Linked DNA regions of Canis lupus familiaris. The protein of the gene in region 1 interacts with the protein of each later gene in a pairwise test. Links are inferred from orthologs where the notes say so. Each region holds a gene or a part of one and is shown on either strand. Other genes may lie near its edges. The genes, in order: DLG4, SYNGAP1, DLGAP3, ERBB4 and DLGAP4.

Region 1 (5,912 bases):
CCCCCAACCCCCAGCTGCCTGCCACCCGCCCAAGCTCCCTCCACACACCAGGCATCCAGCTTGCCAGTCCCAGAGCCTCACAGCCAAGACCTAGGTATTCTGCATCCCACCAGGAGCTGGCCTGTGCTCCCCATCCAAGCGCTGCCCTTTCCGGCTCCAACCACGGGGTCCCCCTCCGCCGGTCCTCACTGCTGCCAACCCTGCCCTCCTCCTCCAGCTCCTTTGCACCCTGGGAACCTGAAATCCAGGTGTCCTCCCCCACCTTGATGCCAAGTGACAGGGGTAAGGGGAACATGCCCCTCCATCTGCTCTTCTCCTTTCTCAACAAGGGGTGGATACAGTGTGGGAAGAGACAGGGATATTGAGCACCTGCCTGGGCCACCCCCAAATTCTGCACCACCCACCTGGTCCCCTCCTCAAATCCCCTCTCTCCCCAAAGCTCTCCTCCTCCTCCTCCTCAGGGTCTGGCATCCTCCACTGCTGCAAGCCTCTCCCTCCCAAGGGAGCACCCCAAATCCTCACCTCACCTGGTCCATTCCCTCAGGTGATCCTGTGTCAGGCGCTAGCCCTCTGACAACTCCCAACTATCCCGCTCTATAGGACCAAACCCTGAATTCCCAGTTCCCCGTAATTGAGCGTACCCCCAAATGTATCCACCACAAGACGCTTGCTCTATAGGTTGAAGGCCCACCCCTCCTCTGCCAGCTGACACCCCCAGACCAGTCAGGCACTCACAGCCAATAACCGTCTACCCCCATGCCAAGAGCCCCCTGAAATTGGACGAGACACCCAGAAGCCAGTTTGTCCCTCAGGAGGGAAGAGAACCCCCCCTCACACAGTCCACCTTCTAATGCACAAGAGCAGGACTCCCATGTGAGCCAGGCTTCTCCTTAAATAAGTCTCCCTCAAACATCATTGGTGAACCCCAAAACCCATCAGCCCCCCCAAACCACAAAACAGCCCAAATTTTCCATTTCTCTACAGGTACAAAGAGATCACTCCAGGGGGCACCTGTGGCCAAACCTAGCATGATCTCAAATGTGAACCCCCAAAGTAAATCATGACCCCCCAGTACACTCCCAGCCCCCAGCCCCAGATCAGGCCTGCCTAACCCCTCCCCACAAACTCATACCCTCCCCCCAGTTGAGAGCCCCCCTATCGTGCTTACCTTGGTTGTCACTATACAGAGACAGTCCATGTTGGGGGGGCTGGCCGCGGCGGCGGGTAAGGGGCTCTGACTTCATCGGAGTTTCGTTCCTCCCCTCTGTGGGTTCTCACCCCTCCCCCCTCCGCACCCCACTTTTGCAGGGGGGGCCAGGATGGGGGGAGGGGTGAGAGGGGAAAGAGGGGGTTGGAGAAGGGAAGGGGAGGGGTGCGTGGGAGGGAGGGGAAGGGGGCCCTAGAAGGGAGTCCCCAGTGGAGGGGAGGGGGCCTGGGGAGCACACCCCGATTCTCAGGAGGGGCGGGGGCACCGGGGGCTGGCAGCCCCGGAGTTCGGGGGCTGGGGCATGAGCTGGGTGGGGGAGGGGAACTGGATTTCAGGGAGCCCCGGGGTAGGGGGGGGGTCTTGCCTGCCGGCCAGGGGCTAGGGCCGCGGCGGGGGAGTGGGGTGGGGGGGTTGGAGGCGGCAGCGGCCGAGGGAGCCGTGGAGCCGAGGAGGGAAGGGGAGAGAGGAGGAGAGAGGAAGCAGGGGGAGGGAGGGAGGGAGCGAGGAGCGAGGATGGGGGGGTGCCTTGGCAGAGTTAACTGCTTCAGTGCTGGCAGGAACCCGGATAATGGGAGAGGAGAGCAGAGCGGAGGCAGACAGGCCCCAAGGCAAAGATGGAGGCCTGGCCAGGCACCAGCGCCAGAGATCAGGAGGCCTCCTGGGTCTCAGGAGAGGAAGCACCCGCTGTGGGGCTGGCAGCACCCATGCTAGTTGCAGTGCTGGCTGGCGGGAGGGGGGGTCTGGGGGGGCAGGCAGGGGGGAGTCCGGTGGGGGGGCAGCTCTCCCTCAGGCTGCACAGGAGGAAGGATGAGAAGTAATTCTGTGCTGGACTCCTTATGCCCGAAATTGGGGCCAAGGGAGGAGGGGGGCGGGGAAGCAGAAGGGGAAAGGGACCAACAGGACCGTGGAGTCTGGGATTCTCTGCACCCCGGGCTCAGAAGTCTGTCTTCAAGGCCCCCAAGGGTGGGGCGGCAGCTCGGCCCCTGCCCTGTCTGCCCCTCTGGGGAGGCGCCCCACCTCACCCCCTTACCTGGCTCTCTGAGATGGAAGCCTCATAATAGTCCAGGATGTCTGTCACCAGAATACAGCTGAGTTACCCTCCCCCACCCCACCTGGGGGGGCTCCCCTGCCCCCACCCCTGCCCTGACTGCTGCTGGCACCTTAGGGCCTCCTGGCTGCCAACCGGACAGTCCCCCAAGTGTGTTCACTGCCCTGGCAGGCCCAGGCCAGCCCTTCGCACCCCAGCGTCCCCAGAGAATCAGGGCTACTCACCCAGCAGGGCCTGGAAGAGGTCACTGTGCAGGACAGCCAAGAGAGGGGGCGCCCATCGCAACAGTGGGGGGGCCAGGAGCCAGAGGGCTGACCGGGGAGCTGGTGAAATGCAAGCGAGGGAGGAATGGGATGGGGAAGAGACCCATGGACCAAGGCGCGGCTCACTCACCTCCCCTAGCCTGTCCCCTCTCCCTGGGCTTAAGTGGGGTGGGGAAGGATCAGCAGGAGGGTCCTCAAGTCCCAGCCCCACTCGGCTCCGCCCCCAGGCCTTTCCTCCATGGGACTCTCCAGTTTCACCTCTGGGTCTCTCGGACATCTCTCTTCTCTGATTTTAATCTCCCTAATCCCCAGGGTTGGAGCTGAGCTGCCTCCCCACCAGGTTCCAGCCTTTAGCCTTTAGCCACCGAAGTGGGCAGTCCTGTCCTAACCCCCTGGGTCGCCTGGCACAATGGTCTCTCTTCCCAAAGCCAGGGGTGAGTTTGCTGCACTTTCCAGAGGGACTGGGCACTGGGGACGGGGGTGGGGGTGGAGGGGTGTCCCCAAGGAGGCTCCTGCAGCCCCAGCCCAGGCCTCTCCCCACTGGGTGTGTCAGCAGGGCAGGGGTATACATGACCTATACATGACCTGGGACTCCTTGACCCAGAGCTAGGTGTGTGTGGTGAGAGTGGGCGACAGAAGAATCCCTACAGTTCCACTCCCCCTGGGAAGAGTCCAGGATGTCACACAGTCTCAGGAGGAAACAAGGGCAGAGACTCCAGCGCCCCAATGGGGAGGCGGTGAATTTGCAGAGGGGAAGGGAGGGGAGGGCCCTACGGTGAGAATTCAGGTGTTTCTAAAGTTAGTGACACCTCAGGTCTCAGGAGAATATACCTGGGCCGCCCCACGCCACCATGTCCCTCCCTCTCGTGTTGATGGAGATGGGTTTCACAAGGGACTCCATAGAGTCATCTGCCCCTGCTTCCGCCGTCTTACATTTTTTTTCTCCCACCTCTCCCTTCCAACTCCACCGGGGAAGTCCTCCTGTTGGCCCACCCTCCATCCCTCCGGCTGCAAAAGCCTGAGCTGCTCCTCCTTCCACCCCAGCCTATCCCATCGCCCCTTCCGAGGGCTACACTCGAGCTGGGCCGGGTGGGACGAAGGCGTTTGGGAGAGACGGAAACGTCTGGAGATAGCCCTACGTTAACCAGAATGCAGGGGCGGGGTGGGGGAGGCCCCGCCCCGGAACTACATCTCCCAGCATGCGCTGGCGGCCGGAAGCCCAGCCCCCCCGGTGCATTGTGGACGATGAGTCAAGACCGGACCAGGGCAGCCAGTCTTTGGCAGACGGGTGGACGGCGCTAGATCTGCGCTCAGGACCGCGGCGACCGGAGTGGTTGGGAGATGCAGGCGGCACGGATGGCCCCGAGCGTGGGGCGGCAGCTGCGGAGGCTGGGGGTCGGAAGGTGCGAGTCGGACAGGAGGGCAGGGCCGGGGTGGCAGCGGGACCGGGGACCCGGACTGAGCCCCCGCTCCCCACAGCTCGCGGCCCAGCGCGCTCCTGGGGCAGCCCCTGCCCGGTCCGGCCTGCCGACCCTATGCCAGTGGGGCCGCTCAGGTGAGTGACGGCGGCCTGGGGCGCGCAGAGCGGGAGGCGGAGTCCGCCTCGGCTCCCCCTTCCCCGCCGCCGGCAGGGGTCTCCCTCTCCGTCCCGGACACCTGGCGCCCGCGGTAGCGCCGAAAGTAGGGGAAAGGGCAGGCCAGGGTGCCCTGACGATGGAAGTAGGGGAAAGGTCGCTGCGTCCGCCTCCGCCCGCACCCAGCGCTTCCCGTGGTCTCCAGCTCCTCGGGAGTCCCTTACCGGGCCTCGCTAACTGTCCCTTTCCCCAGGCGGTTCTGGAGAAGTCAGATTCCCACTCCTCTGAGGCTCCGACCAGAGAGAAGCAGGCCAAGGCGGTACGTGGCCTCCATACCGGGAGGACCTAGGCCAGGGGCTCACCCACTGCAGCAGACAGCTCGCTGAAACCCCCTTCTCCCTGAGCAGGAATCCAAGTCCTTTGCTGCGGGGATGTTCAAGGGTCAGCTCACCACCGATCAGGTGTTCCCTTACCCATCTGGTAAGTAGTCGTCGGGGCGGGGCAGGGCAGGGCCTCTCCACTTCCCCGGTGACCTGACCAGCCTGTCCTTCTCCCCCACAGTACTCAGTGAGGAGCAGACCCAGTTTCTCAAAGAACTGGTGGGGCCTGTGTCCCGTTTCTTTGAGGTGAGGAAGGACTGGGGTGGGGGAACAGAGGGCTTTGGTCCCTGATGGGATGGCAGAGGTGTTCAGCAGCCAGAAAGGAACCTGGATGCGACATCCTGTGCCTTCTCCAGGAAGTGAACGATCCTGCCAAGAATGACACGTTGGAGAAGGTGGAGGAGACCACACTGCAAGGCCTCAAGGAGCTGGGGGCCTTTGGTCTGCAAGTACCCAGCGAGCTGGGTGGTGTGGGCCTCTGTAACACCCAGGTGAGGGAGCCCTGGTCACTGCCAGCATCGCAGGCTATTCCAACATTGCTGATTAAGCGCCTTCCTCATGTGACCTAGGGTTTAGGTTTGTCAGTTAAGGGGGGGCCTGTGTGATGTTGACTGTGCCAATATTTGCATCTTTCAAAACAAAAAACATGGCTCTGTTCCCAGTACATAACACCTTTCCCAACAAAATACCAAACTATATGATATCCCTCCGGGCCACAGAATTCACCCAGTCTCACATGCCCTAATGGTAGGTGGGAAGCCTCCAGACCAGGGTCCCATTCTACCATGGGAACATTCTTTCCAGTCACTATGTAGGGATGCCCCTATTTGGCCCTGCCAAGACACCCCCCCCCCCCCGATGCAGTCAGTTAATCCCTGACACTGCTTTTCCCCCCAGTACGCCCGCTTGGTGGAGATTGTGGGCACGCATGACCTTGGTGTGGGCATCACCCTGGGAGCCCATCAGAGCATCGGCTTCAAAGGCATCCTGCTCTTTGGAACAAAGGCCCAGAAAGAAAAATACCTCCCCAAACTGGCATCTGGTGAGGCGGCTCTAGGAGCCCCAGCAACTGGGGGTGTCCCGGGCTGGGTACAGATGCCACCACACAGCTGGGTGGCTCAGTACATGGGGGTTCTGGGAAGGATTGAAGCTGAGCATTTCCAGGAGCACTGAGGGAACGGCTGCAGGCAGGGTGCAGACAGCGAGGGGCCTCTGCCTGTCAGCAGTTTAAAGGTGCTCTCACCCACAGGGGAGAGCATAGCTGCTTTCTGTCTAACGGAGCCCTCCAGTGGGTCAGATGCAGCCTCCATCCGATCATCAGCTGTGCCCAGCCCCTGTGGAAAATACTATACCCTCAATGGAAGCAAGATCTGGATCAGGCAATCCCTCTACCCTCCCATACCATCCTGTCCTCCCCCCTCCACCTCTTCCTAACTTCAG
Region 2 (5,457 bases), on another chromosome or scaffold:
TCCAGCTCCATCGACCTTCAGTCCTTCATGGCTCGAGGCCTCAACAGGTGAGGGGCTCTCCCCTCCCCCCGGCCCCCTCTCCTCTCCTGTCTGCTCCCCCTCCCCCTCCAGTGGCCTTCACTCTCCTCTCCTCTTCTCTTCCATGCACCCTCATTTCCTCCATACTTGCCCAGACCCACCCCTCATCCCTCTTCTCGGTGCCCACACCTTCCCTCCTCAAGGCCTTGCTCCCTTCCCAGAGGGGCCTTTCCTTCCTCCTTCCCACGTGTCACCTCCCGTGCTCCCTTCCAGCCCTCTCTAGAGCTGCCACCACCAGCTCTCCACCCTTCCCTGCGGGTCCCACTCCTCACCCCAAGGCCTGTGCCAGACCACAGCAGGCTCGATTGCCGGCAGCGTCGGCCTCACCTCCTGTTCCTCTGCCCCTTTCCCTTCCCGCAGCTCTATGGACATGGCTCGCCTCCCTTCCCCAACCAAGGAAAAGCCACCCCCACCACCCCCTGGTGGGGGTAAAGACCTGTTCTATGTGAGCCGTCCACCCCTGGCCCGTTCCTCGCCAGCATACTGCACAAGCAGCTCAGATATCACGGAGCCGGAGCAAAAGATGCTGAGCGTCAACAAGAGTGTCTCCATGCTGGATTTGCAGGGTGATGGGCCCGGTGGTCGCCTCAACAGCAGCAGTGTATCCAACCTGGCGGCTGTTGGGGACCTGCTGCACTCGAGCCAGGCTTCCCTGACCGCGGCCTTGGGGCTGCGGCCTGCGCCTGCTGGACGCCTCTCCCAGGGGAGTGGCTCGTCCATTACAGCGGCTGGCATGCGTCTCAGCCAGATGGGTGTCACCACGGACGGTGTCCCTGCCCAGCAACTGCGCATCCCTCTCTCCTTCCAGAACCCTCTCTTCCACATGGCTGCTGATGGGCCAGGCCCCCCAGGGGGTCACGGAGGGGGTGGTGGTCATGGTCCACCTTCCTCCCATCACCACCATCACCATCATCACCACCACCGAGGTGGAGAGCCCCCCGGGGACACCTTTGCCCCGTTCCATGGCTATAGCAAGAGCGAGGACCTCTCCTCAGGGGTCCCCAAGCCCCCCGCTGCTTCCATCCTTCACAGCCACAGCTACAGTGATGAGTTTGGACCCTCTGGCACTGACTTCACCCGTCGGCAGCTCTCACTCCAGGACAACCTGCAGCACATGCTGTCCCCTCCCCAGATTACCATTGGTCCCCAGAGGCCTGCCCCCTCAGGGCCCGGAGGTGGGAGCAGCGGTGGGGGCAGTGGTGGGGGTGGCGGAGGCCAACCGCCTCCATTGCAGAGGGGCAAGTCTCAGCAGTTGACAGTCAGCGCTGCCCAGAAACCCCGGCCATCCAGTGGGAATCTGTTGCAGTCACCGGAGCCAAGTTATGGCCCTGCCCGTCCACGGCAACAAAGCCTCAGCAAAGAGGGCAGCATTGGGGGCAGCGGGGGCAGCGGTGGCGGAGGGGGTGGGGGGCTCAAGCCCTCCATCACCAAGCAGGTACGTGAGGGTGGGAAGAAGGACGGATGGGTGAGGAACAGGGAGGGTGGAAGGAAATGGCTTTGTGGAAGTGGGGGCAGAATAGAGTCTGGCATCTGAAATCATACTTTTCTCACATCCTCTCATTCATTAAAGAAATTGTATACAGAGTCCCTGCTAGGTGCCATGTCCTGTTCTAGGCACTGTGGGTTTGACACTGAGTGCCACACACACCCTGCCCTCATGAAGCTCACCTCTCCAGAGGGGAGACATGATATGTAATTAAATAGCATTCACAAGGAGATTGAGACTAGAGCAGGGGAATGAGATGGGAATGGTCACCTTCTTTAGCAGTGCTCTCTCCTAAATGCACCCTACCTTTTCCCACCTTTCCTCTCTCTTCACTTCCACCTTGCCCCATCCCAGCATTCTCAGGCACCATCCACACTGAACCCCACAATGCCAGCCTCTGAGCGGACAGTGGCCTGGGTCTCTAACATGCCTCACCTGTCAGCTGACATCGAGAGTGCCCACATCGAGCGAGAGGAGTACAAGCTCAAGGAGTACTCTAAGTCGATGGATGAGAGCCGGCTGGATAGGGTACGCTGGGCCCCTCATCTTCCCATTACCCACAGGGGCAACCTCTAGATGCTTCTCAGGGAAGGACCCAGGGGTCAAGTAGTTACAGTGGAAAGAAGAGACAAAGACCTGATCTCCTTTCTTAAGAAGTGTCCAGTCTATTAGGGGACACTGGGTACACAGTCTGTCGGAAAGCCAACTTCCAACTTTATTTTGTGGCTTATACACATCATAGACTGCGGAGAAACGTTTTATGTTAAAGCTTATTTCCATTTTATTTCCATGTTCTTCCCCAGGGAGAACAGAAGCCCCGATTCCTATGACTACTCAGGAAAGGGACAGCTAGCTACTCTGCCAGCAGTGTGAGCTGATAAATTGGGTGGGGGGCCAGAGGGCTGCAGTTGTACTACAGACCATGTCCAGCTTACCCAGGCATTGTTCCACCAGCACAGATGATAGAGGGTTGGTGTTGGAAAGTGGTATATGTTGGCCCACGTGTGGAAAGACCAGATCCTCAGCTGGTGGTGGCCTAGAGCAAAAGACAGCAAGAGCTCAGGGCACACACACATAGCTCAGCAGTGCTCCTTGGAGAGGCTGTTGCTCCAAGGGCTCTGAAGAAGAGGGTGGCTGTAGGATTAGGTTAACGTAAAGACTGTACGACTCCAACTCGGGGAAGCAGAGAGAGGTTTCTTGGGAGCTGTGGTTTTTGAGCAGAGGAAAATGTTGGGACTGTCTAGATGGACTTGGTATAGCAAGTCCCATGAGAGAATTAAGCCCTAATGCCCAAGGTAGCCACCTTTGGTAATAAATGACATCTCTCCTTTGCTTCCAGAGTGGGGTTGGTTCTGTATGTATCATCTTTGGAGAATGAGAAAATACTCTCAAGTCGTTTTTTCTGTACTATGACTTGGATGAGATATTTTTGTTGAGGAAGGCTCTAGAACAGTACCATCCAGTAGAGTTTTCTGCAGTAATGAGAAACGTTCTATGATCTGCATCGTCCGTATGGCAGTCACCAGCCTCATGTGGTTGATGCAGCTGAGGAAGGAAATTTTGTTTTATTTACGTTTTAAATAGCCACACATGGCTAGTGTCTACTGTATTGGATAGCACCACAGCTCTAGACTCTAGAGCCAGTAGGGCAGATAAAATGACTCCTCTGTGCCCTTCGAGCCCCAGAATTCCAGAATCATTATCAACAGAGGCAGTCTTAGATTCTCAGCCTGGAGTTGTTTAAAGCCCAGACCTGGAACCCCACATAGCCTCTCCTTATCCAGTGTCTTTTCTTCCTGGGTCTCCCCACCCTCCCCATGTGCTCTGGTTGGACTGAGGAGTCACCTTAAGCTTTCATTTCTAGGTAGGATCACTCAAGGTGAGTGGGAGGGGAGTCTGTATATGTTTGTGTGTGGGTCCTTGTGTGTCCAGATTTACATGTGCGGGCAGGTATATACTGCTCAGGGCATGGGAGCATATGATCTTGGTCCATTTTAAAGGAGCCTTAGGTAGCTCCATAGAAGGGTCTTCTCAAAAGCCACCATGTCTGGTATAATCAGCAGGCAGGGAAAGGACTGCAGAAGGCACCTGGGTTATCTGTCCCTTACCATGCAGTGGCTGCTTGGTAGGCAAGAATGGAGACGGGGTGGTGGGTCAGGGTGAGGCGCCCCTCACAGTGCGGGGTCGTTTGCCCGGCGGGCAGGTGAAGGAGTATGAGGAGGAGATCCATTCACTGAAGGAGCGACTACACATGTCCAACCGGAAGCTAGAAGAGTATGAGCGGAGGCTGCTGTCCCAGGAGGAGCAGACCAGCAAAATCTTGATGCAGTATCAGGCCCGACTGGAGCAGAGCGAAAAGAGGCTAAGGCAGCAACAGGTGGAGAAGGATTCGCAGATCAAGAGCATCATTGGCAGGTGAGGGGCGGCCTGGGGAGGGGTCACAAGGGAGAGCCTGAGGCTGAGGAGAGCCAGCAAGTTCCCCCTCTAGCCTTCAGCCCCAAACTCAGGACACCATGAGGAAAGCCCACCACCTGCTCCCAGAGATTGCCACTCACTACCAATCACCAAATGGGGAGAAACTTCTCGCTCAGGGCATAAATGAACCCTGATCTCTCTCCCGATAGAGTAACTTCTTAAATTCTTGGACTCCCCACTGGTTAGTCTCAATCCAGCCTGTGATGTTCTCCCCAAATCTAAGCAGAGACCTCTAGCCAGAGTAGCCCCTAGCCATTCCTATCCTGGGTAGCCCCTCCCTCCAGCCCTGAAAAGATGTTCTCTTAGAAACTGAATGACCAAAAAAAAAAAAAAAAGTAAAAGAAACCGAATGACCCTTCTGTTAGCATATGCACATTTTCAACTGCTCTGCCAAGGCCTGGCTTCCAAAGAAGGTATCTCAGCAAGGCGGTCAGCTTATCCTGAGAAGTGGTGGGACTCCAGGCTGGACTCTAACTAGAGCCAGTCCCATTTTGATCCACTCTGAATGTAGTTTGGATTAAGATTAATTAGAAGAAAAAGGCTTGACTTGAAACTTACTTTGAAACCCTGTTGTAATTGACATCCTTGATGGGAAATCGTTTTGAGAATCTTCATCAAAGGCACGGAGGTGCTGGGAATGATGATTGTAGAGACCCCTCTTGGTCTTGGGGTATCCCAGGGGTGGCACTGGTGGTGTCCTAGGTTCAGTGAGATGGAATGGGAGATGTAGAAGTGAGGCCTTCAGCCACAGAGGGGCTGTGGGAGGGCACTGTCCTGAATGGGAGGGTGGAGGGCCAAGGGGGCATCTGGGTGATAGAGGTCTTTGAATCCCAGAAAGCTGTCCTTAGCAGGGAGATGTGAGGGTCCCTGAGGGGAAGGTTAGTATAGGGAGTCTTTGGGTCATAACAATAGAAGGATTCTGAGGGCAGAGGAGAAGGACGCCTGAGGCTTTTCCAGAGAGCTGCAGGGGCTCCCCCAGGATCAGGAGTTCCACTGGCAGGCTCCGAGCCCGTGCCCGCCACTAACCCCACTGAAGCCCGTCCCTTCAGGCTGATGCTGGTGGAGGAGGAGCTGCGCCGGGACCACCCCGCCATGCCTGAGCCGCTGCCTGAACCCAAGAAGAGGCTGCTCGACGCTCAGGTGGAAATTACAATGTCATTTATCTTCTCCGTGTCCCATCCCCATCCATCCCACTGTCCTTTGTGCACTCACTGCACCAGCCACCCAGCCCCATTGCCATCTGTCTCCCACTGTCCTCCATTTGTCCACTGGCTGCTCCTGGCAGCACCCCCAGTGACCCCATCTTCATCCCATCGTCTATGCCTTTGTCACTCCTAGCAGTGTTAGCCCCACCCCTGTGCCTTTCTACTCTGTCTTTCCCACTCCTGTCTGGGTCTTGGAGCATCCAGCAGAACCTC
Region 3 (6,064 bases), on another chromosome or scaffold:
GTGCAGGGCCCCTTGTTAAGAAATCATTAAGAATTTCGAGACGGTGACAGGAGAGCATTAAACCAAGAGTGGGGCCTTTTTAAGTGTGGGGCTCTGTGTGACTGCACAGCTCACACTCGTTCGAAGCTGGCCCTGGAAGTAATTATTGGTTTACATCTCTGTCTCCCTTACACATCACCGGACGGCTGTGAAAGCACACTGCCCAGGGTAAACCTGTCTGATTAATCTTAATCAGTAAATGGTTGTTGAATTAACAGATGAAAACTACATCATGTTCTCAATTCTAAAACACGTCAACCCTTGGATAACAGCCTTCAGAGAAAAGCAGAAAACCGTATTGAAGGTCCCTATCGGTTGCAGGATGCGTTCCAATTTCAGAATAGCTAACAAAACGTTCATCTTAGGACTCGGAAACCACGGTGGTGCCCTGGGTGTCCTAGTGATGGCTGGTCTTATCCTCCACGGAAAGCAAAGTGGTTCTTTCAGTTCTAAGGTGGGTTCCTGGGACCAACTTTCCACTTTCTTTTCTGTTGTATCTGGTTTTGCCTGGTCCCTGGGCTGGAAATGAGCTGCAACCTTAGCTTAGATTGAAAATTCCTGATGGAAACGCTCTCGTGGGCCGCAGCGCAGGGCAAGGTAACCGTCCTGCCCGGCCCCCATCCCAGAGTCTAGATTTCCTTGGGCAAGGGCTTTCCACACTCCTTCTTTTTTTAATTTTTATTTATTTATGATAGTCACAGAGAGGGGGGGGGGGGGCAGAGACACAGGCAGAGGGAGAAGCAGGCTCCATGCACCGGGAGCCCGACGTGGGATTCAATCCCGGGTCTCCAGGATCGCGCCCTGGGCCAAAGGCAGGCGCCAAACCGCTGCGCCACCCAGGGATCCCTCCACACTCCTTTTTGTCATTTATGTCATGTGGGATCTTTAAGCAGTTCTCTGCAGGAAGGGGAAAGGGCTTACTCCCAGTTTTAACTTTTCTGGAGCCTGTGACTCCTACTTTCCCCGCCTCAGTTTCTCCCTTTATACAAGGAAGAGAGCCGGCAACCCCAGAGGGGAACCGGGCAAAGGGGGTAGTTGGGTGAACGTGGAGTCACAATAACTTGAATGTGTGTCCCTGGAGAGGAGGACAGCTAGGACAGCTGGTCTCCGAGGCTCCCGAGCCCTGGCTGGGGACCAGAACCGGCGGAGGCAGGCAGGGCGGAGGGGGGCTCCAAGCAGCACAGGCTCCCCCTTCCCGGCGCCCGCCGCACCCCGCGGAATCCGAACCCAGGACCAGCTCCTCCCCCGCCTTCCAGCCCCTCCCCCTGCGGCTTCCCCAGGCCCCCCTCTCCCCGCCTCGCCCAGCGTCTCCCGGGCGCTGGGACCGACTCCAGCCGGGAAGTGCTGCAGTCAGCTCTCCGCCTCCGGGCTGGACTGTCCCCTGCCCTCCCCGCAGCGCCCCGCACGGCCCAGGGCCCCGAGGTGGGCGGGCACAGGGGCTGGGGGGCCGCCGGCCGGCAGGTGGCCTGGGCCGCGCCGGTGTCAGGCTGGGGGGCCCCCGGGCACAGCGCCCCTCCCCGGCCGCGGCTGGGGGGCGGCCCGCGGGGACCCCAAGAGCCTCCCGAGGGGATGCGGGGGGGGGATACGGGGGACCCAAAGAGCCGCCCGAGGGGATGGGGGGGATGCGGGGGGACCCGAGGAGGCTCCCGAGAGGATGGGGGAGATGCAGGGGGGGATGCAGGGGGCGGACCTGAGGAGCCTCCCGAGGGGATGGGGGGACCCGAAGAGCCTCCCGAGGGGATTGGGGGGGGATACGGGGGGGCCAGAGGAGCCGCCCGAGGGGATGCGGGGGGGGATACGGGGGGGCCCGAGGAGCCTCCCGAGGGGATGCGGGGGGGCTCCCGGGTGACACCCAGGCTGTGACCTGCCTCGGGGGGCGCGAGCCCTGTGCCCGGGGCTGCCCGACCGTGTCCCCGGCTGCGCGTGGTGGCGACGCGGTGGCTGCCCGGGCCCGCGGCGCGGGTGGTCCCGGGGGGAGGGGCTGGCGGGGAGCCCGGGCCGCTGCGGGGGCAGGAGCGCGGCCGCCTCGGGCCGGGCAGGCGCGCGGGGGCGGGGGCGGGGGCGGGGGCGGAGCGCGCGGGCGGGATCCCCCCGCCTCCCCGTCCCGGTCCCCGGGAAATCCAGCCTCCGTGGCTTGGCCGCCTCCCGCTCCCGCGCCCGCAGCCGCCCGGCGCTCGCTCGGGGCTCCGCAGCCGGCGCGGCCCCTCCGCCGGGGGCTCCGCAGTGCCGCCCCCCCCGCCGCCCGCACCATGGCCCCCGGCCGGAGCCCCAGCCGGGCCAGGTAAGCGCGGGGGGCCGGGGCCGCGCCCTCGGCAGCGCCCCCCAGCCTCGGCCTGGCTGCGGCCCCGGCGCCGCCCACGCCCCGGGCGCCCGCGGCCTCGGCTCCGGGCCCGGGGAGGGGGGAGGGGGCGGGGGGGAGGGGAGAGGGGGGAGGGACGGGGTTGGGGTGGAGGGGAGGGGTGGAGGGAAGGAGGGAGCCCTGGGCCGCCCCCCCCGCCCCCGCCCCTGCAGGCGGCCGCGGCCTGACCCCGAGCAGGGGGGCGGCGGGAGGGCCGCGCGGGGCCGAGGGGGCTGCGGGCCGGCGCGGGGGGGCTCGGGGGGCCCGGGCCGCGGGGGGGGCAGCCCGCCGGCCGCGGGGGCAGCGGTGGTGTCGGGGAGACCCGGAGAGAAGTTTCCCCTGCAGGTGCGCGAGTGTGCGTGCGTGTCACGGTGCCCGCGGTGAGTGTGCGAGTGTCCCCGCGTGGGTCTGCGGGCGGCCGTGTGCGCGGCGCGAGCGTGTCCGCGGGTGTGTGCGGTGTGAGCGTGGAGTGTGTCGCTGTGTGTGTCTGTAGACATGTGTGTGAATGAGCGTGTGCGCGGCCGCCACGCGTGCCTGTGTATGTCCCTGCGAACAGGATGTGTGTGTGCCCGTGTGCCTGTGTCTCCGTGAGTGGTCCGGGCATCCGTGGCCTGTGTGTGTGTGTGTGTGTGTGTGTGTGTGTGTGTGTGTCAGGCTGTATGTGAGCGGGGCTCACTCTGAATCACAGCACCCGGGCTTTGTCCCTCCTTCCCCGGGGACGGGGACGGGGACGGGGACGGGGACGGGGACACCGCGGGTGCTGGGAGGCCTGGCGCTGGGAGATGAGACTTGGCCCAGGTCGGGTCATCCCTCCGCGCCTGCGACTCCTGCCCCTGACTCAGGCAAGGGCTGCGCTGCGTTCCCCACCTTGAGGTTCACCTTCACCTCCCCAGGGGCCACCCCCCACGATGCCACGGCTGGGTCCTTGCTGCCTGTGGGGCCCCGGTGGTCGGGGGCCGGGGGGCGCGGGAGTGTGTGTGCTGCTAAGAATCTTGGGGCCTAGGAACTTGTGTCACCCCCGTGACGCTCACCAAGGGCCCCTTAGTGCCAGGAGCTGAGGAGGCCAGGTGGAAGCTGCTGTCCTGTTGTTAGTCATCAGAGCAGGTGGCTGTCTCCCAGACTTCCAAGTCCTAAATTTCCAAGTTCTGGGTCATTTGTTCAGGCCCTTGGCTCCAGGTGGGTCTGTGCTAAAGCTTTTGAAGTAAGAATAGTAAGAAAACAGTGCCTTTGTATCAGTGCAGGGCTTTTGAAAAACTAACCCCTCCTCACCTCCTTCCTCTTATCCCCCCAACAGCCTCAGGAAGCAGGCAGGCCCGGTTAAGGCTCTGAAAGGGCCAGGATTCAGCTGTTTTTGTTTTTTGCCTACAAGAGCAGCAATTTCACGTAGTTTGGCTTAGTATGATGCCGGTTGACAGATGAGGGTGTTGAGGCTTCAGAGGTGAATGGCGGTTCTCCGGATTGCCCCCTGCTAACCAGCGGGGCAGAAGGACTCCAACCCAGGTCTTGGGGTGACTCGCAGAGTTGGGCTGGGCCAAGGCGAAAGAGTGGCGCTTCCCGGCGTCTTCTCTCAGACCCTGGGCCGCCGTGTCTCCCCCCACCCAGCGTTCCCTGAGTGCCGGGGCTACTTCTGCACCCAGCTGCCAAGGCCTAAAAGAGAGATTGGGGGAGAAGAGAGGAGGGAGGGAAGGGAGAGGCTTCGTGAGTTGGCAGTGAATCAGGGTCTAAAAAGGGAGCTGGGAGGGCTAGGGTGGCAGGTGTTTCTAAAAGGAACATGAGCATAGGATGAACAGCCTCAGACGCAAGCCCTGCAGCCCCCACCCTCAATGCCCCCACTGATCCTGCACGTGGTGCCCACTGCATTTTATGCCAGGGGGCTCCTGTCCAAGGGGTGCGCTTGCATGGAGCTGTGGAACGGCGGCCGGGAGAGGAACCTTGGGACTGACTTGCTCTAACCTCTTGATTCTAAAGTGAGGGCACCGAAGCCCAGAGAAGGGCGCGGACTTGCCCAAGGTCACACAGCAAACTTGCGTGTTCCTGGCGAGTCTCAGCCCGGAAACTTTCCAACCCTGCGCGTTGCTTTCCATTCCTGGACCCCCTGCCCGCCCCAGTCTATGCCCGTCAGAGCCGAGCAGAGGGGGTTTCAAAGACCCAATAAGCCCGAGGCTGTAGATCCTTTAGCCTGGGACCCTTTATAAAAGAGAGGGCCAGGGGTTGGGGGTGGCTTCGCGGCCATGCCCACCGCGGAGTAGGCCACGGGCTTGTCCGGATTCCTGCGTGTGAGGGGCCGGATCTGCTGAAGACCAGACTCCTAGACTCTCCGTGGCGGTGCCTGCTTTCAGCTGCCGCCTGGCACCTCACATCATCTCTCTCCAGCTGATGTTGGGGCTCGAGCTGGCCGGGCTCCATCTTCCTTCATCCCACCCAGTTTCTGATGCATTCCGCCTCTAGCTGGCCTGACAGTCCTTATCTCATGGGTTCCTGTTGGGTAGAGAAACTTCTGGGGCTTTTCTGGTTTGGGGAGGGTCTGTAGTTACCCTTAAACCCTTTCGAATCACACTTTCCAGAAACCTAGGGTAAACGCTAAGATAATTGTCCCCATTTGCCAGATGGGAAGACTGGAATTCAGAGAGGGGCCTTCTATTTGGTGTTTTTTTTTTTTTTTTTTAAATTTTTTCTCTTAATCTGCTAAGATCAGTGGAAGAGTTTCTTGGAGTGAGGGGACGAGGCGGCAAATGACAGCCGAATCTTTTGCCTAGAGGGGCTCCTACAGACCCCTTCCAGGGTCTTGCCGTCTCCGCCGTCAGGAAGCCTTCCCAGAGTCTGATTTGATTCCCACTTGGTGGAGTCAACTGTTGTCTCAGTGGGAGTTGGAGGACCAGCTGCGTGCCCTCCGCTGTACAAGCATCGTGTCTTGCTGCCTTCTTTGCCCGCCTGCCCCCCCACCCCAGCCCCAGTCTGAAGACTGCTGGCTCAGCGGGCCTCCTGCCGCCTGGGGAGTCTGGGTTTGAGCTGGGGCGAGGCAGCGGCACCATCGTTATGGTAACGAGCTGCTAGCTCATTGTTGCTAATAACTCGTCAAGTCCCTGGGCTCCGAGGCAGCCTGCCTCCCCACCAGCCCTTGTCCCCAAGTCACAGAAAGGAAAAGTGAGGCTGCGAGGGAAGGGCCGATGAGTAAGGGTGTCTGGGGGGAGAGGATGGCCTTGCCCTTGGGTCACTTGGGGGCCGATTTACGCGTGGGATTACATAAGTTTGTGTAGGATCGCCTGGGCTGTGACATGGGAATCCACCCAGAACATACTTGCACCGACCTGCACATGCTAGCTGATGTGTTCATGTGCTTGCCCAGCAGCCCACATGCAAAACATGCTTCCGAGCATCAGAACATGCTTGCGCCTGAATACTTGCTTCTACCATCTGCACATAAGGCACCCAAGAAATCTGGGTTTGTGGGGGTGTCCAGGTATGTGGGTGGGGATCTGATCCTTTTTTCTGATGCGGCTTCAAAGTGTCTTGTTAACAAAGGGCCAGAATGGTCCCGGGGTCCCTTCTTCCTCCCAGCCAAGAGCTCAGAATGGGAGCGGGCCAGGAAGGAGGCGGGGGGCTCAAGCTCCCAGCTCCTGCAGGCTCCTGCCTCTGTGTCCTTTGAGCTCAGGTACCCCCTGCCCCCCTCACTCTCTGTTCTTTCCC
Region 4 (5,970 bases), on another chromosome or scaffold:
GGAGGGAGGGAGGATGATAAAAATAGAAAGCAAAGATAATCCCAAAGAGCAGCCTGCACAATTCTGAAGCAATCAGTACCACTCTGGTCAAGTCACCATCATCTGTTCTGGGCTTAATTTCTCCAGGCACTGGGCTGCTCCTGGGTAAAACAACATACTCAGCTTGTTTGGACTCCTCTCTGTGCCTGTTCCTTGCTGTGGGCCTAAGAAAGGGAAGGCTTCAGGTTTCTGGGATGAGGCTGCTGCTTCTCTCTGTTCTCAGCTCCATGAAAATTCTTTAGGGACAAGGCTATAGATAAAAGATGTGGGGGAGGAATGGGAAGGTCTCAAATGATGAGTGAGGTGGCTTGATTTTTAAGCTCCCCTGATACTTTTTATTTATATATTTTCTGCTTCTGGAGAAATATAAAAAGTAAAGTAATCCATACATAGAATGCCTGTGCAAATAGCAAACCAATAACCTACTACCCCCAGGAGGTTCTGGCCTCTGCCCAGGGTACCGTTTCAGAGCTGTAAAAGGCAAGGGATATGTACACTGATATGACCCAAATCCAGGATATTTTTAATCAAGAAAGGCACAGAAACTCCTATAGTTAGGGATATGGGGACTGGGGAGTGTGGACTCGCAGAAGGTACCTAAAGTTGGGTCTACTGTAGCATAAGCCTAATAATCATTTGTGTTGGCCATGTCCTGGTATGGCCTTAAGTTCTTTCACAGTAACAGCTGCGGAGTGAGAGAGTTTCTAGCCCTTTAGAACCACATTTATACCTTTGGACGAGAATCTGTTTAATGAGAATGAACCCCATACAAAGTTGTCCCAAGTCCAAGGAAAAGGTGAAAAAAGACTTACGAGGTCTGAAAAGCAAAGGCTGTAGCTATATAAATGCCGTCAGTTCGGCAGGGTGGGAATTGTGGGAGGGATGGCATAGTTGGAAAAACGGGTGATTGTGTTCCCAGGACCACCTAACCGGCAGAGCCTCCCAGCTCCCGAACCACCTTTTTAACTACTTTCTGAGTGTGCAGCAGCATTAGAGGTTGGAGAAGGGTGAAGGCTTTATGCCCGAAGCAACGTTTTCTTTTCTTCTATTTCCAGCTCCAGTCTGTGGATGAGCACTGTGTGTGGGGCAGTAGAGAAAACGGGGACTTTCTGGTTTAAGGAAAAGAAAAAAAAAAAAAATCTGTGAGCAACCCTGCGGTGGTCTCCGCGCTCGCAAGCCGCTGTCTAGGGCCTCGGCGTCGGTCGGCTGGGTCGGGCGAGCCCTTTAAATCCAGCTCCCCCGCCCCCCGCAGCACGCGCCCGCTCCCAGACAGGTGTTTTCCCAACTCCTGAGACTGAGGATTTTGGGGAGAGTACGAGCCAATAAGATTCCCCTCTGGGGGGTGGGGGGCGGGGAAAAAGGCGGGGCCAGTTGGGTCAGAGCGGGGGCGGGGCTCGCGGCTGAGCCGAGCCAGCCCGGTTGCGTGGAGGCTTGTTTTATCCGCCCCCCCTCCACCTTTTTTTTTTTTTTTTTCCCCCCTCCCGGAGTCTTATTAATTTCTCGGTGGGGCTGCAGCTGGAGACCGCGGAGCGTTGGAAATGACGCTCGGAGCTTTAATTACCGCAGCCGCCGGACAAGTGTGAGGAAAGCTGACGGGAAAAAGAAGGACAGGATCGGGGGAGAAGCGAGAAGCGCCCTCCCCTCGCCCCCCCCCCCCCCCCCGCCCTCGTCCTCCCATCCCCTCCCAGTTGGGACTGGAGGTGCAAGGAAACTGAAAAGGGAGCCCAACATAGCCCGGCTGCGGGGAGAGGCCGGAAACCTACCGCCTCTTTGCAATCAACTTTTTTTGGAAAGCCTTTTCCCCCCTTCCTTTTTATTGTTGACCAACCAGTGCGAGAAAGTGAGGAGGGAGCGAGGACGCGGAGGCTCGCACGGGGGAAGCGCTGCCCAGTCCGGCCCCGAGCGGCACGCGCACACCCTCGGGCGCACGGCCCCGCGCACACCGGCGCGCACGCCCCTCCTCGGGCCCCGGCCCCGGCCCCGGCCCCGGCTCCCCGCGCCCCCGCACCCCGGCCCCGGCCCCGCCGACTCGGACTCGGACTCGGACTCGGACTCGGACTCGCACGCGCACTCGCCCTCGGCGGCTCCAGCTGGGAGCCGGTGCACCGCGCCCCGGGCGCGCCGGACTCGGGGCCCTCCTCCGCGTGCCCGACAGGGGAGATGCCATTTGGACATGTAATTGTCAGCTCGGGATCTGAGACTTGCAGAAAATGAAGCTGGCGGCAGGACCGTGGGTCTGGGTGAGCCTTCTGCTGGCAGCGGGGACCGTCCAGCCCAACGCCTCCCAGTCAGGTGGGTGTCCGGGGCTCCGCGCCCCCCGCGCCCCCCGCGCCCCTCCGGCCTCCTCCTCCTCGGGCTTGGCTTCCCTTCCTCCCTCCGTCTGTCCGTCCCCAAACTTAGCCTTTTTCGTGTACCTGCGTTTCACTTACCGTGAAATGTCACTCTGCGACCCTGTCCCCCCTCCCTTTTCCCCCCTTCCTTTCTCCCCGACCCCCTTCTTTCTTTCTTTCTTTCTTTCTCCCGCGTTTTCGGGGGAGCCTAAAAGCGGGATCTCTGCGGGTCCTGCCGGTTGTGCGGGCCGCGGGACACGCGGCTCCCGAGGCTCCCGAGTTGGACGGTCCCGCCGTGCGGGCGCCCCGAGAGCGAACGCCTGGCACCGGCGCGCGGGGCTCCGCAGGGGCTGTCCCCGAGCCGGCGGGCGGCGCACCTGTGCGGCCGCGGGTCCCTCCCCGCTGGGGCGGCCGCCAGCCTGCGCGCCGCCGACTCGACGGAGCTCGCTGGCCCGCGGGCTCTCTCTAAAGAAAAGGGGGGGGGCAGGGAAGGGGTTTGACACCCTGAGCGGGAGCCCGGCCCTGCCGTCGTCGCCCGGCTTGGCTCCGGGAAGAGTTCTTCCTGTAGTTCAACTTCTATTGGCCCGAGTCCCTCCAACTTCGCTGTTTACTGCCCGGCGCGGCTGCCGAGCCGACCCGGGGCGCGACCCGGTCCACCCCGAGGCGGGAGCGACGGCGCCGCCACCGCCTCCGCCTCCGCCACCGCCACCGCCACCGCCTGCGAGAAGGCGCGAGCCCGGGCACCTGGACGGGCCCAGGCCGACCGCCCCCGAGGCCCGGGGTGGGCTGGCGTCCGCGGCGGCCAGGGCCACGCACGGCACCTGCAGGGCGAGGCTGCTCAAAGTTTTTGACACTTGAGTTTCCTGGGGATGAAAGCGGGGCGGGAAAGGACGGAGGCCGGTGGGTCTGATGCCGCCAAAGGGGGCCTTTTGCAGAGCGGGGGGGATCTCCGGAGCCACCCCGGGCTGGTGGCGGGAGCGTGGGAGGCAGCTGGGAGGGTGAAGCCCCCCGGGAGCGCCCGGGAGCGGGGCTCGGGCCGCGTCGGGCCCCCGGAGGGCGTCCCCCTGACCTCACCGGGAGCCGCGCGCCGCCTTCCGCGCTCCGCCCCCGCCGCTGCCGCCTTCCCTCCTAGCCTAGTAAATAACAAGTCGCAGGCGCCGAGCCTTTCAGAATGACCTTCGAGTGGCACCAGCGTGCGCCGTTGGTGCTCGCCGTTTGCACCCTCCCGATCCTCGGGAGTCCTTCATGCGCACCGGGTCGCGCGCTCAGCCGCCGCCGGAACCGCACCAGCCCCGACCGCGGATTCCAGGCGGCCTCTTAGATACGTGCCTTTTACCTCCTCCCTCCGCACTCCGAGTCCCTTCGTATTTTCCCTCAATGGGTCGATTATGCACATTGACCCATTCAAAAGCGTGTGCGACCGACACGCAGACTTAGGCGAGAGGGATTTCTCCGAGTCCGAGGCAGCCCACTGGGGGCTGTCGGTGCAGCCTCGGCCGCTGGGGGACCCGGCTCCGAGTGCGCAGCAACTCGGTATTAACTGTGTGGCTCAGGGGTGAGCTATGCCGAAAAGCCCTTTTCAGAATTTCTGCAAAGAATGCAATCCAAATTAGTTCTGCAGCTGTCCCCTTCCTCGTCTCCGGCGACACCGCCTCGCGCCCTCGCTGGTCTCTTCTCGCTTCCCCCCGCGAATGGTCAGACCCACAAGTGAGCCCCTGTAGAGCGCGGGGATTAGCGTGCCATTGTTGTTCTGTGTGTGACTCTGCACTTGAAATTCTAGGGGCACAAAGGCGAGCCTCACTTGTTCAAAACACAGAGTGATCCAGATGAAAGGGCCGCACAAAGAAAAGCTCTCGGTGCATCCCTGGTACAATTGCAACACGCATGCTAAGGTGATCCACTGGGAACTGTAAATGCCCCTGGGGACTTCTTTCTTCACCCTATTCCCCTCCTCACCCCCCCCCCCCCGCCCCCACCACCCCTGCCGCACCTGGCAGGGAAAGTTCAGCTGGTTTTAATACAGTGCTTTCACGAAACCAAGTTACTGTGTGGAGTGTGAGTGAGGCTGTGTGTGTCTGTGTCTGTGTCCGTGGGGCTGTCTGTTCCCAAGTAAATACATACTGCGTGTCTCCCCTCTCGCGGTTAGCAGTCAGTAGCAGTTTGGAGGAGTTTGTTTTGGTCCAAATGAGAAATTAAGTGCGGATAAGTAAACTAAGCTGCCAGAGGGCGACAAGATGTTGAGTGAATTGCTTTTAGATGAAACAAATTAAGGAAACGAGGGAAGACAATCTGCTTCTCGCATTATTAGACACGCTTGGAGTTCAGGGGAAAGTGGCATATTTTTGAAATGCTAATTTCTTAAGCAGAAGGAATGCACCTTATTTACTGCTCTATGTGAACAGAATAAAGATATGGGTGGAGGGAGGATTCTGTTGTATAGATCTAAGATATTTATTAAAATAATTATAATGGGAAAGGACCTGTTTTTATTTTTTCTTCTCTTGCTTGGGAAAAAAATCAGCTTTAGAGAAAACAATTTTTAAATATGTCTCAGGACTTTGTCTCATTTCCAGTAATTCATTTTATCCAGAAATACTATATATATATGTATATATATAGTATATAGCCAAAGGCCCTTTATAGGACTGTTATAAAGCCTTTTCTACCAAAAGGGATAATTTCAAAATTTCTGTTTTCCTGGCATGATTTAAAAATAGTATCACCTTTGTATTTAATTACAATATATAATATTGAAGTGATGCTCTTACATACCTCAATAGATATGGGATGAACAAGTTCAGTTTCCATTTCTTATTTGCAAGTAACTTAATTCTGCTTTTCATGCTATAGAATAACATACGTTTTTTCCTACATATTAAGATGTATCTTCAAACTTAGGGTTGGGGTTTTGTTTTGTACATTTGAGAAGGAAAAAGTTAATAAAACTTAGGTAGATAAAAAGATGTTCAATACACTAAAAAAAAATCTTTCCTACATGTGTTTACTGTAAGCACACCCACAGGATACACGTTTTTTGTTTTTGTTTTTGTTTTTTTTTGAAATTCTTATATATGTCAAAGGGATCTTTTTAGGGGAAGGCATTTTTTTCTTCAGAATGCTTCTAAACAAGTTTATACTCATTGTAACTGTAAATAACTTGAAAATACTGTAGTATGGACTGTTACGATAAAATTGAATGGTTGGTTGTGTAAAAATTCCTCATCTTCTGATTTTTCCCTCTTAAACTAAACTGCTTTTATTTTAATCATTCATGCATATAAAGTCAAAGTTTTTTGAAAATCAATACTTAATCCTTTATATATTTTTTCATTTAGTCACTGGAAATGTGTCTTAATTAAGAAATTACATTAGAATATTTACCAGGGCATGCACTTCATGGAAGATTTATGTATTTTTTTACACTAACCTGAACACAGTAAGTTTGCATTGGCTGATTTTTAGAGTTTGCATTCACTTGAGGGAAAAATCATATTTCCTTCTTAAAGTAGATTCAAATATTTAGCATTCATGAGCTTTCATGCTTTTAGTTCTTAAATAGAAGTACTATTTATCATCTGTCTTAGGCATTCACCCTTTCCAT
Region 5 (6,212 bases), on another chromosome or scaffold:
TTTATATACCATCCAATTCACCCAATCAAAGTGTACAATTTAATGTTTTTAGTGTATTCACAGAGTTGTGCAGCCATCACCACAATCCACTTTAGAACATTTTCATTATTCTAAAAAGAAATCATGAGCCACTTAGCCATCACTCCCTCCCAAGCCCCCCACTGGCAACCACTAATCTACCAGCTTCCATACAGAATTGCCTGTCTCGGACATTTCATATAAGTGAAATCATACGCTATGTGGTCTTTTGTGACTGCCTCCTTTCACTTAACATAATGTTCTCAAGGTTCATCCCTGTTGGAAGTCCCAATCTTAAATACCATCAGAGCTGGCAGGAACCTAAGAGACCATCCTGTGTGCTTCTCCCACTTATTGTAAAGTGGGGAATCTGGAAGGAGATGTGCTCCAGTCCTGCAGCAAGGACATTGGGGGGAATCCCCAGATCAGGACCCCTGTTCCCCCTACCCTGAACAGGAGCCTTCCTCTGCTATCACCGCTTCTCCTTCTGCTTTGGCTCTGGGTGATTTGGGCTAAAAGTGACAACGTGGTTGGTAATGCGTCCTCCCAAGTGCTGGATTTCCATGCACTGGCAATTTTCACGCCCCATGGTCTATCTTGAAATCTTTTATGCATCTTTAAGAATTTGTGTCCACTAATTTAGAATTTTTTGGAGTCTGATATTTTCTTTTTCTGCTACTTAAACTTTTTTGTTTGTTTTTGTCCAGACAGTCACACCTGTTTTCCTTGGTTGGTGATTCTTCCACTGGGGGAGGCAGGGTAGCATTGGGGTTAACGGCTGGGTCTTGGCATTGGATGCCCTACCCCTTTCTCATTGTGTGCCTGTGAGTAATTGCTGAAGCTCTCTGAGCCTCAGTTTCTCCCTTTGAAAACCAGGAATAACACTGTAGGGCTGTGGTGAGGAACACATGGAGTCAAGCCTGTTTGGGCTTGGCAAAGAGTGGATGCAGATACAGGGGGGTTATGAGGGCTTTCCAGGGCCTTGGGGTAACCAGGAGAGGAAGGTACCATTCCTCACCATCGTCTGGCCTTTCCTCTGTATTCCTACTGTACCTCCCCTCTCAGGGCTTGAGTTCACATTCCAGCCCCACTTGGATTCTCTGCCCCCACATCAGCTCAGGTTCCTCGGTGCCTCAGTTTCTCCACCTGTAGAATGAGAGACTGAGGGCAGGAGCTTCCATGGAAGCCTCTGAGGTAGCCACAAGGCTCCTGGGAGGGGGCATGGAATGGAGGCACCCCTTCCTCCTCCTTCCAGGAGGGCCTGCTTCCTGCTGATTTAAAGTTCCAAGCAGGAGCAGTGGCACCTGTTCAGGAGAGGTGGGTGGAGAGGGACACCTGGTTTCCCTCTGCCTCTCGCACAAGACGTGTTATATGGGAGGTGGTGGGCAGAGAGGCAGTGGAGGGCCTCCTACTCTGCGTGCAGGGGACAGGGGCAAAGCCTGTTTGGAGGGGCTCTCTCAGGTAGATATGCCAGGCCGGGTGTTACCTTCTCAATCCTCACGGCACCCCTCAGAGAAGGCATTCTTACTCCCGTTTGACAGGGGGGGAAACTGAGGCTCGGAGTGGGGCAGCTGGCTGCCCAGTGTCGCTCAGTGAGTGAGGGGCTGAACTGGGATTCGAACTCAGGCCCGTGTGACTCCAGCCCCTCCCCGCTCTCTCCCCCATCCAGGGATAAGAAGGGAGAAGCAAGGCAGTGGTGGGGCGGATTGGAGCCTTTGGAACCCCGGCTTCCTGGCTGCTGTGGGGATTCTGTGGGTGGTGGGAAAGGCATCGTAAATATGCATGACATGTAAATACGCCTCTGAAAAACAATGTGGGGGCCCACGTGAGCCAAGATGCCAGAGTGCTTTGGAAAATGTAGTGTTGTGCAAACACTTGGGTTTCTATGATGATTGCTCCGTGGTATCTCCCACTCTGGTGTTCACAGGGCCAGTCCAGCGGGCTCGGGGTGGAGGGATCACCTCTGATACCTCCTCATTAACACTCTCCCCCATTCCTACAGACGCTGGTGCCTCCCCCTCTGCCAGGTGCTGGGTGGCTGGAACTGGGTCTCTCTGGGTGCCAGAGGGCGTTGTCCTGTGCTGCTTCCCGCCAGCACCTCCGATTGAGTGCCCAGAGGAATGTGTGTGCCAGCCCTTGGTCCAGTGCCTGCTCCCGAGCTGACGCCTGCTGGTTCCCGACTGGTTCCCATCTTCCCTCTGCACGTAGCTCCCTGGTTGGTAAGTAAGTGCGTCCGTAGCCCGGGCACACGGCATCGGGGCTGCTCACCCGCTCACCCACGCTCTGCACAGTTGGGAGATGCCCAGCCTTCCACCCAGTGGCGCCCACGTGCTGGCGAAGGGACCCCAGTGAGAGCTTTTCTGTCTGGGCTCAATTTATAGTTTAACTGCTTGTCTTACTCAGTCCTCCCCACACCCCAGGAGGTGGGCACAGTGATTGCGTCTGTTTTACGGGAGAGAAAGCCATTTGCCTGAGGACACACAGCAAATCCAGCTCTGACTACCTCAGAGGCCAGCTCTTGCCCAGGGGCTTGGGCAGTTGACACTGTGGGCTCAGTAAGGGAAGGGGAGCAGTGGGCCATGCTGGAAGCCGTGGAAGCTCTGGGGCTCACAGACGGGCTAAGGTGAGGCCATTGGAGTTCCTGAATATTGGGGAGCCCCATTGTTCTTGCTCCTTCATCCTGTTCCACCCACACTCCTCTGGTCCCCACTTTACCTAACCCCAGAACAGGATGAGGTGCAGCACCCCACCTCATGTCTGACCACCGTCTGAGGATCCCACAGTGCACCCACACCTGGTCCCGTCATCCTTCCACACAGATGAGGCTGACAGCATGCCCCCTATTCCCCACAACAGTGCCTAACACTCACCACATTCCTGAATCTCACCCTCCCACCACCTCTCAAGGCTGTTCACAGATGAGGAAACTGAGGCTCATGGGAGCTCAAGGGGCTTGCCCGGGGTCCCCCACCACTACTCAGCATGGAACCGTTGATTTGCGATCTGCCTCCTTATCTGACCTCAGCTCCTCAAAGGTGAGATATAACTGCTTCATTCCCGCAGGGGACAGCCAGTGGCTGGCACAGTGCCTGGCAGATAATGGGTACACAGTGACTAGTTGTGGAAGGAAGGAAGAGGGAAAGGAGAGAAAGGACTCTCCCCTCCCTCCACCCAGACACTTGCAGGCCCTGGGAGCCCATTGGCCTTTTGGCCAGCTGCTGGTCCCTGCTGATCGCAGAGAGCTTGCAGTCAGCTCAGGTCAGCAGGACAGCCAGCCCCTCTGGTCTCAACTCTCTTATCTGCCAACAGCGGCCCAGCCTCCCTGATGGGGTGGTTATGAGAAGGGAAAAAGACTCGTAAATATGTATAATATGCAAATGTCATAGGATAATAAAAACCCATGAAGTTCGCTGTACATAATGTATGTAGAAGTGCTGCTTCTTCGAGAACAAGGAGCTGCACACTCGTGCGGTGCCAGCCTCATTAATAACTGGGAAATGCCCCTATTAATTAGCTGCCCCCCAGCCCCGCTCCCCCGGTCTGGCCTCCGCCTGTCGTAGCTACAGACAGCTATCGCATTTGGCTGAGATGCTGTTGCCAGAAAAGAAGCGATAAGGGTATGGCGGTCTGAGAGCTGTATCTGTGGGATGTAATCACTGGCAAACAGTCCTGGTCATGCCCTAGGCTCTGCGTGTCTTCCCCAGGGACTAAATACATAACAGGAGCAACCCCAACCACAGCAGGCATTTCTTGAGCAATTACTATGTGCCTGGCCTGGCACTAATTGCTTTGTTTTCTTCTCATCTCAAATAGACTACAACGACCCTGTGGGAGGTTGAGGCATATGGACCTGGGGCACAGGGCTCATGCACCGACATTCTGGTCCTTCCTGAAAATGCCTGCCATCGGTGTGCATGTGCCCCTACCCCCGAGCCAGAGGGGCAGGGCTGCGGCCACTGAAATAACAGTGTGGCTGGCAGCCCCCGGTGTGTGTGGCCCAGTGACGGAGAACGGGATTCCTTGGCACGGGTTGGGAGAGCAGCCGTCAGCATTGTAGGAAAGATGGAGGCTCGGGCGGCAGCGAGGGAGGTGTTACTTGCAGCTATTTTGCTAACAAGCTGGTTATTTAAAGAAGAGCTAAAGCCAAAGTCGGAAAGCCGGATGGGGAGTCTCCACGCCCTGAGCAGAGGCAGCCAGGGGTCTGGGGGCCTGGTTGGGTCCGGGTAGAGTAGCCACACATTTGTTTTTCATTTGCTTATTATTAGTAATAATAGTAACAGCAAGCACCAGTAGAGTCTGGAAATGGAGAAAAGAGGCTGGAAGGATTGGGAGGGAGGCAATAATCTGTTCATTGACCCAGGTGGTGGTTACAGAATGCTTTATTCTGTGATCATTTGTTGCAGTCAACATTTTTTTAAAAGATGTATTTTATTTAGAGAGAGAATGTGAGCAGGGGTGCCTGCTCGGCAGACAGGGCAGGGCACCAGCCCCAGAGGCATTCCTACATCCCCAGGGCATTTGTCGTGTGCTAGTCCCTGCTGGTCTCTGCCCTCACAGAGCCCAGAAGCCCAGAGGAGAGGCAGGTATTACTCAATCACCCAAATAAGTAGTGACCAAGAAGAGACTCCATCAGTGCAGTGAAGGAAATGAGCATGGTGATGTCGTAAATACTAACATGATCGGAGGGCCTGAAGGACGTGGAACAGTCCAGGATGGCCTCCCTAAGAATGTGGCCTCTGAGCTGTGACCTGAAGTATAACAGGGATCCCGACACGCTAGAGAGTGTTCACTGTAGCACTGTTGACTATAGAAGGACGGTTGGGAACAACCCATTTTTCCATCACCAGGGGACTCGTTAAACCCATTTACTGAAGTCATACAGTGGCGCCCACTGTAGCTGTTAGAAATGGATCTGTGGCCCTAAATTCCCCACTGTGGAAAGAACTTCATAGTGTATTGTAGAGTTGGGGAAAAAAAGAGGTTATAAAACAGCATGGGCAGCATGATATCATTTTTGTAAGAGCTACATGTGTTTCTGAAAACTGTTCACAGTGGGGGCATGGGAGATCTTTGCTGTGTCTTCTCTGTAATTTTCTAGATTTGGGGTGCTTCCTAAGTGTTAGGACTTGGTGGGGAGAAACAGGGAGTTTGGGCTTCCATGGTCCTGCTTGAGGCAGTTCCCCTCTCCTGCTACCTACTGCAGTAAAATGGGATGAGGCATGGGGTGGGGAATTAGCAGATGTGGGCCACACTTCAGTTTTACCACTTCTTGACTATGTGACCTTGGTCAAGTCACTCTCTCTCTAAAGCTGACTTGTCCCTTCTATGATTAAGAGACAAGAATAGCATCAGAGGGTGGCTGTGGGGCTTTCGTGAGTTAAAACATAGAGAGGGGATCCCTGGGTGGCGCAGCGGTTTGGCGCCTGCCTTTGGCCCAGGGCGCGATCCTGGAGACCCGGGATCGAGTCCCACATCGGGCTCCCGGTGCATGGAGCCTGCTTCTCCCTCTGCCTGTGTCTCTGCCTCTCTCTCTCTCTCTCTGTGACTATCATGAATAAATAAATAAAATCTTTAAAAAAAAATAAAAAATAAAACATAGAGAGGACTAGAACACTCCCAGTTGCATCACTGGTGGCAGCTGCTGTTACCACTGCCAGAGGTGACATATCTTGTGTGCTCATCACATTGTGCCTGGGCTCTCAGTGCTGACTGGCCCTCTAGGCTTGTCTCTGCCCTTGCTCACTGAGAGTCAGACCAAGTTGAAGGATGAGGCTGAGGGAGATGGGGAGCTTAGTTAGGTGCACATAGCTGGCTGGACCCGAGGCCAGCAAGCACCACCCTCCCACCCCCAAGCCCTGACTACCTCCCCACCAACTCACTTGCATATCTGTCAATGAGTGTTCTTGCAGAGATGCTGTTATGGGGCGCTCTTGCCCTGGATTTGCTTTTTCTGATAGCCACTAAATCTACCCAGAAAGACAGTTTCTACCTTTCTAGACACTCAGAGAATCTTAAATCTCAAGTAGAGAAACTTCTAGTTGTGAAGCCAAACTCTTAGAATCATAGAATCTTAGTCATAAATAATCCAGCAAGAGCAAACATGGGCATTTTACAAGAAAGTTTACTGAATCTCTCCTGATGATGGTAATAAATGAGAAACTACCCAATTATCTATCAGCTAGAGATGGTTAAAT

The links.
Region 2: the proteins of DLG4 (region 1) and SYNGAP1 interact in a two-hybrid assay, tested with the Homo sapiens proteins (2 studies listed by BioGRID and IntAct). The link is inferred for Canis lupus familiaris from reciprocal best matches to the Homo sapiens genes DLG4 and SYNGAP1.
Region 3: the proteins of DLG4 (region 1) and DLGAP3 interact in a two-hybrid assay, tested with the Homo sapiens proteins (2 studies listed by BioGRID and IntAct). The link is inferred for Canis lupus familiaris from reciprocal best matches to the Homo sapiens genes DLG4 and DLGAP3.
Region 4: the proteins of DLG4 (region 1) and ERBB4 interact in binary tests that used the Homo sapiens proteins (3 or more experiments, as listed by UniProt). The link is inferred for Canis lupus familiaris from reciprocal best matches to the Homo sapiens genes DLG4 and ERBB4.
Region 5: the proteins of DLG4 (region 1) and DLGAP4 interact in a two-hybrid assay, tested with the Homo sapiens proteins (2 studies listed by BioGRID and IntAct). The link is inferred for Canis lupus familiaris from reciprocal best matches to the Homo sapiens genes DLG4 and DLGAP4.

Annotation. Positions count from the first base shown.
Region 1 is NC_049226.1:32,392,221-32,398,132, forward strand, and holds the start of DLG4 (disks large homolog 4), read right to left. Parts: upstream 3,645-5,912; 5' UTR 3,519-3,644; coding exon 3,350-3,518; intron 2,675-3,349; exon of another isoform or gene 2,579-2,674; coding exon 2,480-2,578; intron 2,279-2,479; coding exon 2,238-2,278; intron 1,356-2,237; exon of another isoform or gene 1,199-1,355; coding exon of another isoform or gene 1,169-1,198; intron 1-1,168. Other genes in the region: ACADVL (very long-chain specific acyl-CoA dehydrogenase, mitochondrial), read left to right, coding at 3,860-3,921, 3,998-4,073, 4,346-4,411, 4,500-4,572, 4,654-4,718, 4,829-4,963, 5,370-5,514, 5,722-5,851. UniProt on the Homo sapiens protein: Postsynaptic scaffolding protein that plays a critical role in synaptogenesis and synaptic plasticity by providing a platform for the postsynaptic clustering of crucial synaptic proteins.
Region 2 is NC_049233.1:3,030,122-3,035,578, forward strand, and holds part of SYNGAP1 (ras/Rap GTPase-activating protein SynGAP), read left to right. Parts: intron 1-5; coding exon 6-47; intron 48-438; coding exon 439-1,513; intron 1,514-1,918; coding exon 1,919-2,092; intron 2,093-2,320; exon of another isoform or gene 2,321-3,767; coding exon 3,768-3,979; exon of another isoform or gene 3,980-3,991; intron 3,992-4,597; exon of another isoform or gene 4,598-4,737; intron 4,738-5,075; coding exon of another isoform or gene 5,076-5,088; coding exon 5,089-5,182; intron 5,183-5,457. UniProt on the Homo sapiens protein: Major constituent of the PSD essential for postsynaptic signaling. Inhibitory regulator of the Ras-cAMP pathway.
Region 3 is NC_049236.1:7,122,984-7,129,047, forward strand, and holds the start of DLGAP3 (disks large-associated protein 3), read left to right. Parts: upstream 1-2,221; 5' UTR 2,222-2,320; intron 2,321-5,916; exon of another isoform or gene 5,917-6,029; intron 6,030-6,064. UniProt on the Homo sapiens protein: May play a role in the molecular organization of synapses and neuronal cell signaling. Could be an adapter protein linking ion channel to the subsynaptic cytoskeleton. May induce enrichment of PSD-95/SAP90 at the plasma membrane.
Region 4 is NC_049258.1:19,995,382-20,001,351, reverse strand, and holds the start of ERBB4 (receptor tyrosine-protein kinase erbB-4), read left to right. Parts: upstream 1-2,089; 5' UTR 2,090-2,249; coding exon 2,250-2,331; intron 2,332-5,970. UniProt on the Homo sapiens protein: Tyrosine-protein kinase that plays an essential role as cell surface receptor for neuregulins and EGF family members and regulates development of the heart, the central nervous system and the mammary gland, gene transcription, cell proliferation, differentiation, migration and apoptosis.
Region 5 is NC_049245.1:25,732,091-25,738,302, forward strand, and holds the start of DLGAP4 (disks large-associated protein 4), read left to right. Parts: upstream 1-2,028; 5' UTR 2,029-2,237; intron 2,238-6,212. UniProt on the Homo sapiens protein: May play a role in the molecular organization of synapses and neuronal cell signaling. Could be an adapter protein linking ion channel to the subsynaptic cytoskeleton. May induce enrichment of PSD-95/SAP90 at the plasma membrane.